Linked DNA regions of Arabidopsis thaliana. The protein of the gene in region 1 interacts with the protein of each later gene in a pairwise test. Each region holds a gene or a part of one and is shown in the gene's direction. Other genes may lie near its edges.

Region 1 (3,756 bases):
ATATATAATTATACAAAAATAAAAAATAATAATATTCTATCTTTTGCCGTTGTCTACAGTGACACACCAAATATAGTGATATACTGTTGAAAAAAAAGGAATCACACTATAATAGTGTAAATTATACAGTTTGGTTGGAGAGAAAAAGTTAACATTCCCACGCTATTTTAAAGTTTTGCAGTTCCCTTGGAGATGGCCTTATAGGTTGAGTAATGTTTTTTGAAATAACCGGAGCACTACTCAACTTCTAGTAAGTACCTTCTAAATATGTAAAAACTAAGGATTCATCTTTCCATCATAAGAAATAAAAGATATAGAGCAATTTGCTTATTGAAAGATTTTGTTTCAAAGCTTATGATTGCTAACTATTAGTTTTATTGCGTATATTTAATATCGGTTGCCAAAATTTCGTTATTGGCATGAACATTTTCTTGAGCCAAGAGTCGAAGGGAGTTTTAAAAACATGCAACCTTCAAAATAACGCTCCATTGTCTAGAAGAATATGATTACTATCTTCCATTATTTACAGTTGTAGTGGTCCTGGCTTGGTCACTTAAGAGCATCTTAAATTAGGCTAAAATGTGTCCCCCAAAGGACAACAAACTTCTCCTTGGCACACGCGTGAAGTCATCTTCTATTACTACTTTCTTTACCATATTTATCACCAAGATCCTCTTTGTCTCCACCAACCAACATTAATAACTGTTCTTATAAATAAATAATTATTTAAACAAATCAAAAGTTGGTTCGATATATCATAGAGAAAGCTTCGTAAAGATTTTAACTTTATGAGCTTTGCGGTGTAATACGTATATGATACTCCGCAAAAGCTTTTGACTCGCATATAAAATGCTTCATGGACCTCTTTCGCTATATTGGGTCACCGGTCTGCGTCATTTTAGCTGGAAAGTTCTTCGCTTATGGGTTCAAAACTTCAAATGCTCATATAATATAAAGTACATAAAAAAGTGAAACTGTATAACAGTCTTTTATCAAATCAAAGTTATCGCTTTGTTGAATAATATCTGTAGTTTAGGCAAAATCTTTTGGCAATATGAGTTAAATATGTGAAGAAAAACTAGATTAGATATGCTTTAACAAAGAAAAACTAGATTAGATTAAATGGAGAGAACACTAAATGCAACTTCTCCTAAACTATTACTACCACTGCCACTTTGTTTTTAATATTCACACCCACACGCATGCACACATAGCTTTGACCCTTTGACCACTCAGTTTACGATTTTACCCCTAATGTAGTAATTTCGCATTATTATTTTATTTTTACCTTTCATATCTTAACCGGATGTTTCAGAGTTAGTCAAGGTTGTCTATTTGGTGTTATTTTAAAGTTACTCTAAAACACTATTTTTCTGTTATCTTTCAAAAAGACCAATTAAAAAATAAAAATTATAAACATTCCTACACCATTCTAAAACATTCTTAAAATTTTCATACAACTGATTTTGCAAGCTTTCCAAAATGTTTTCTTAACCGATTGCGGATATGATATCGTACATAATTGTATGGTTTATTGTTCTTCTAAATACTACAGAAGTTAGAAGTGTCCATCGTAAATAAGAAAAAAATATTGTTAAAATATACATATTAATTTTGTAATTATTATCTATATAGTTTTGGTCATTTGGAAAGTGAGATTTGAATGTACTACTAATTGAACAAAAATACTGTTTTAACGTTATCAGAATGTATAAACGTTAGATATTTAATGAAAAAAAAAAACAAAGTGAAAAAGCGAGAGAGAAAGAGAAACATTGGATCCACAACAAGTAAAAACACTTATTATTGTTGAAGAAAGAAGTTTAACGTTTTTCAATGATTCACCACTGTGACTGTGTCTGTGTCTTCCCCACTACGTGCGCTATATATAAATTTTTCTCCTTTCATTTTTTTCCGCAGATTCCTTTCTCCTCGAGAACAAAAAAAACTTCTTTTTTTTTCTCTTTCTCTCTTGGCTTCTCTTTAGAAAGTGACTCACCAGAAAAAAAAAAGGGTTTTTGCTTTTCGGGTTTAGCTAAGAAAAATCTTTCAATCTTCCTTAAATCTTTCAAAACCCCAAAATGGGACCTCGTTGCTCTAAGCTCTCTCTCTGTTGGTGGCCGACCCATCTCAAATCAACTCACAACGAAGCTTCTGATCTAGGTGATAACAACTTCTTCTTCACTTAAAGTCTCTACCTTTCACACTCTCTCTGCTAACAAAGTTTGAGTTTTTTGTTTTTTGTTCTGATAGATAACGGAACGGACGATTTGCCGTCGTTTACGGAGTTTAGTTTCGACCAACTACGAGCTGCTACTTGTGGATTCTCTACAGACAGTATTGTCTCCGAACATGGTGTTAAAGCTCCTAATGTTGTGTATAAAGGCAGACTTGAAGATGACCGATGGATCGCTGTTAAACGATTCAATAGATCCGCTTGGCCTGATACTCGTCAATTTCTTGTACGAACTCTCATAAATTTGATTCCTTTACTCATTTCCGTTGATGGGTTCTCGTACAGTTCAATTTAAAACCCCTGTTGCATTTGGTGGTGTTTACTGTTTGGTTTGATTGATCTTTAGGAAGAAGCAAAAGCTGTGGGGCAGTTGAGGAATGAGAGGTTGGCGAATTTGATTGGATTCTGTTGTGAAGGAGACGAGAGATTGCTCGTTGCTGAGTTTATGCCTTTTGAAACTCTCTCGAAGCATCTCTTTCACTGTAAGGCTTCTCATCATCTTTAAGAGATTGGCAACTGTTTACTTTTTTGGTTTGATTCTCTACGCCTTTTAGTTTTTAGTTCTAACACATTGTTTAGGAGATTTTGTTGGTAATTTCTGTTTTTGGTTCTATCTTGTTGAACAAAAGATTAACACTTTAAATGCAAATGATTGGTGGAACTTAATAATTTGTGATGATATGTAGGGGATAGTCAGCCAATGAAGTGGTCTATGAGGTTGAGAGTGGCTTTGTATCTTGCACAAGCACTTGAGTATTGTAGCAGCAAAGGTCGCGCCTTGTACCACGATCTTAATGCTTACAGGATCTTGTTTGACCAGGTCCATCTCGAGCTTACTATTAACTCTCTTATCTCTTTCTTGCTCTTGATTGGATTTATGTTTCACTTTTCGTATAAGTTACTGTTCTGGGATTCTTATAATGTTTTTCTGGAAAACTTGATTACAGGATGGTAACCCGAGATTATCTTGCTTTGGTCTTATGAAGAATAGTAGGGATGGGAAGAGTTACAGTACAAATTTGGCTTTCACACCTCCTGAATACCTAAGAACAGGTCAGTTACTGATTTGAGATGCAATGGCGTCAAGTTATGTGTTTGCTGTTTGACAAAGTTATGATATTGATCTGATATATGGATGTGCGTTTATTAATCTCTTAAGGGAGAGTGATTCCGGAGAGTGTGGTCTACAGCTTCGGAACGCTGTTGCTAGATCTTCTCAGCGGCAAACACATACCACCAAGCCATGTAAGTGCACCAAACATGGCTCAACTTCTCTTGGGAGGAAGTTCTTGATCTTTTAGCTTCTTCTCCTTATCCCAGAAAATGTTGATAAAGTTCTGTATGCTCTACCATTGTTCTGCAGGCGCTTGATCTGATTCGTGGGAAGAATTTCCTGATGCTGATGGACTCGTGTCTAGATGGCCATTTCTCAAACGATGATGGAACCGATTTGGTTCGTTTAGCTTCCCGTTGTTTGCAGTATGAAGCTCGTGAAAGGCCAAATGTGAAATCTCTCGTGT
Region 2 (3,756 bases), on another chromosome or scaffold:
GGCAGAGATCGCAGAGCTCTTCTTTGTCGACACAACTCCTTTTGTAGATGCTTATTTCCTCAGTCCACAAGACCAAACTTACGACTGGAGCGGCGTATCACCGCGAAAATCCTACCTTCAGACCATCTTAACGGTACTTGAAAACACATAATTAAGTCATTACCATCAGTTGTAGGAATTATCATGATGGCGATCCCAAATACTAATTAGTATTTATAATGTGTAGGAGTTGGAGATGGGTCTAAGAGAATCAAGTGCAAAATGGAAAATTGTGGTGGGTCACCATGCTATAAAGAGTGCTTCCATTCATGGGAATACCAAAGAGCTTGAATCTCTCCTCTTACCCATCCTTGAGGTTCATTTTCTTCTTAATTACTCTTATTTTAAGAGATGTTTCGATTATTTCAAATGCAATTTAAAGTGTTTTTTTTTCTTAAACTAACTTTTGCGTTTTTTATGTTTATATGTGAATATTTCTTTTCGAAGTATGTATATTTCTAAAAGTTAACATTTCCACTTGTTCATAAACTATTTTTGCAAAAGACAAACGCAAGGGAGTTGATATTTTCCATTAACAATTTTTTTTTTTTGAAATACTAAAAGTAGTAATTCGTTTGAAAAAGAAAAAAACACACTATTATAATATTAGATTCTTGGATTTTTCAGGCGAATAAAGTTGATCTCTATATGAACGGTCATGATCATTGCTTGCAACATATAAGCACATCACAAAGGTAACAACGATTAATAGTTATATGGAGTATAAACCAAACCTGTGTTTGGATGAAGCGGATAACAAAAGAGATAAAGTTGTGGATTTAACATTTTATTATAATTTTGCAGCCCAATTCAGTTTCTAACGAGTGGTGGTGGGTCAAAGGCATGGAGAGGCTATTACAATTGGACAACACCAGAGGATATGAAATTTTTCTACGATGGACAAGGTTTCATGTCAGTTAAGATCACTAGATCAGAATTGAGTGTCGTTTTTTATGATGTCTCCGGCAATAGTTTGCATAAGTGGGACACATCGAAAATGTTAGACTCGGATTTTTATTTCCCATTGTAATTCACATGAAAATCAGTTAAAGCACATAAATTCTACATATAAATAAATATGATTACTATGAGTGGCTAAAAAAAAATCAAGTAAATTAGGCAAACTCAGAATACATGAAGTCATGCAGAATGTTGGAAACTTTCTGTACGAGCCATCTTCGTCATTGAATGTATCACAGCATATTTAGCTAAACCATGACGTAAATACAATTCTTTTGTTCGATCCATTAAGTATATTATATGGGACCAAACAAACACATACCAAAAAAATTGGAGGTTCGTACAATACTTTATCAATTTAATAAATACGTTTGGCCATAGACCGCCTAATATAAGAACATTCATATTAAAAGTTGGAGCTACATTCAATGGGAGCAAAAAAAAAACTTCAACATTGGTGTCTTTTTCAATTCAAACCAAACCAATAAAGACACATCAACCGGAATTGAGAAAAATATACCAAAAATGGTAAAGGATACGTAAATACATGAATCTAAATTAAGAAATAACTTCCTATATTTGTTCATACTTTTTAAGAAATGAAAACTAACTTCCTAATTTTGTTCATTTATTTTTACCAACCTATCTAGAGACTTAGGTTAGGCACGTGTAGCATGTAGGGATGTTATATAGGGCTTAAATTTAAGGTCCGGTCCGGGCCCGTTAAAGTGTTTCGGGCTAAAACAAGACTGGCCCTATTACATTATTTTTATTTATTTTAGGACAAGAGTAACGTGATGGTTTTATCATTTACGAATTGACTAGTCCTGCGAATGGACTAATTCCAAACGCCATTTTAGACAAGTATGAGTTTGACTTTGACCAAACAAAAGAGGTTTCTAATCAAATTAATTAATCCACTCACCTACTACTGATTAAGCACGTGGTTCATGTTCCACAAAACGCACCGTTTCACCTGTCAAGTTCTTCCAATCTCTCTCTCTCAGAGCTTTTTATAAACTCCTCTCTTTTGGAATTAAATCAGGAATCTTTGCTTCTCAGACAATGGCGGCTTCTACATTGTACAAATCCTGTCTTCTTCAACCCAAGTCTGGCTCCACCACTCGCCGCCTAAACCCTTCTCTCGTTAACCCTCTTACGAATCCCACAAGTAAGTCTCCGGTGTCGAGATACGGAGATAGAGGCGTTATTCCAATCTAAAGTTTCGATTTTTATCAGTTTTTTTGTTTCCTCTGTGATACAGGAGTTTCCGTTTTGGGGAAGAGTCGTAGAGATGTCTTTGCGAAAGCTTCGATTGAAATGGCGGAATCGAATTCGATACCTTCCGTTGTTGTCAATTCCTCTAAGCAGCATGGTCCAATCATCGTGATTGATAATTACGACAGCTTCACATACAATCTCTGCCAGGTTTCATTTCGAACACATTCTCAAATCTTCACTCTACGCTTGTTAGATTTTTGATGTGGAATGTTTTTGAATCTGTTTTGGTGTAAAAGCAGCTGAATTTGCAAAGTCCTTGATTTTGTTAGAAATGTTTATTCAAGTATGCATGGTGATTGAATGTTAAAATCTCATTATTTCACAATCCAATCTAGTTTCGACATGCTAATAGATAAGACTATGTAATGTAGTTTCTCTCTTGTTTATGTATGTGATCAGAGTCGTTATGTTGTACCATCAAATCTTATTGTCGAAAGCTCTTCGTTTCTTGTTTGGCGTTGTAAGGAGTAACTGTTGATCAAGCAAAAGCTAATACATCACTTCTTTGCTGCCTAAAGTCTGGTCTTTTGAGTAGTATCTTTAATCATGTTCAAAGTTTGAATTGGTGATTTTGTGAGTTGTTATTTTTTTACTTTAGATTGTTTATTCGTTGTTGGAGTATCTCGGTTTATCATGAAATTTTGGCTGCTCTGAGTATCTCACATAATGCATAATAGGTCTCTAATATACAATTTGATCATGTCTCACTTCTAGTATTTATTGTGATCGTTCTCTTCATATGGTTTCTTCTGCTTTAGTATAAACAAAATTTTGAGAATTGTTATCTATTTCTACAGTATATGGGAGAGCTAGGATGCCATTTTGAAGTTTACCGCAATGATGAACTTACAGTAGAAGAGCTGAAAAAGTGAGAAGAAACTATATGCATTCTGTTTAAAACGTAATCTAGCTAGTCAATTGGTGTTGATTCCTTTATTATGCTCTCCTTCTTGCAGAAAAAATCCAAGAGGGGTGTTGATTTCTCCAGGGCCTGGTAAATATTCTGGCCTCTGAAATTTATTTTCTGATTATGTGGTGTATCTTTTTGAAGTGCCCGAGAAGAAGATAACACCTTTCTTAAATTTTATAGGTACCCCTCAAGACTCTGGGATTTCCTTGCAAACTGTTTTGGAACTCGGACCACTTGTTCCTTTATTTGGAGTATGTATGGGTTTGCAGTGTATAGGAGAAGCATTTGGAGGTTAGTTGTATATAAACAAGACATCTTATTTCTCCGTATCAGTGTTCTATAACATGGATTTGTTCTTTATTATGTATCCACAACTTAAATGCAATTTTGTTTGAACATTGATTAGGAAAGATTGTGCGGTCACCATTTGGTGTTATGCATGGGAAAAGCTCAATGGTTCACTATGATGAGAAAGGAGAAGAAGGCTTGTTCTCTGGATTATCAAAGTATGAATCAAATTTTTTTCTGTGTTGTCTAATATAGTAAATCATAAGTCTGTAAAAATG

What was found.
Region 2: the proteins of BSK5 (region 1) and ASB1 interact in a two-hybrid assay, tested with the Arabidopsis thaliana proteins (one large-scale study listed by BioGRID).

Annotation. Positions count from the first base shown.
Region 1 is NC_003076.8:23,821,425-23,825,180, reverse strand, and holds the start of BSK5 (kinase with tetratricopeptide repeat domain-containing protein), read left to right. Parts: upstream 1-1,863; 5' UTR 1,864-2,081; coding exon 2,082-2,163; exon of another isoform or gene 2,164-2,253; coding exon 2,254-2,462; intron 2,463-2,582; coding exon 2,583-2,718; intron 2,719-2,922; coding exon 2,923-3,056; intron 3,057-3,183; coding exon 3,184-3,289; intron 3,290-3,395; coding exon 3,396-3,481; intron 3,482-3,599; coding exon 3,600-3,756.
Region 2 is NC_003070.9:8,837,787-8,841,542, reverse strand, and holds the start of ASB1 (anthranilate synthase beta subunit 1), read left to right. Parts: upstream 1-1,993; 5' UTR 1,994-2,064; coding exon 2,065-2,170; intron 2,171-2,263; coding exon 2,264-2,427; exon of another isoform or gene 2,428-3,038; coding exon 3,039-3,148; intron 3,149-3,236; coding exon 3,237-3,274; intron 3,275-3,370; coding exon 3,371-3,481; intron 3,482-3,596; coding exon 3,597-3,696; intron 3,697-3,756. Other genes in the region: AT1G25230 (Calcineurin-like metallo-phosphoesterase superfamily protein), read left to right, coding at 6-133, 227-355, 667-734, 844-1,069. UniProt on the Arabidopsis thaliana protein: Part of a heterotetrameric complex that catalyzes the two-step biosynthesis of anthranilate, an intermediate in the biosynthesis of L-tryptophan.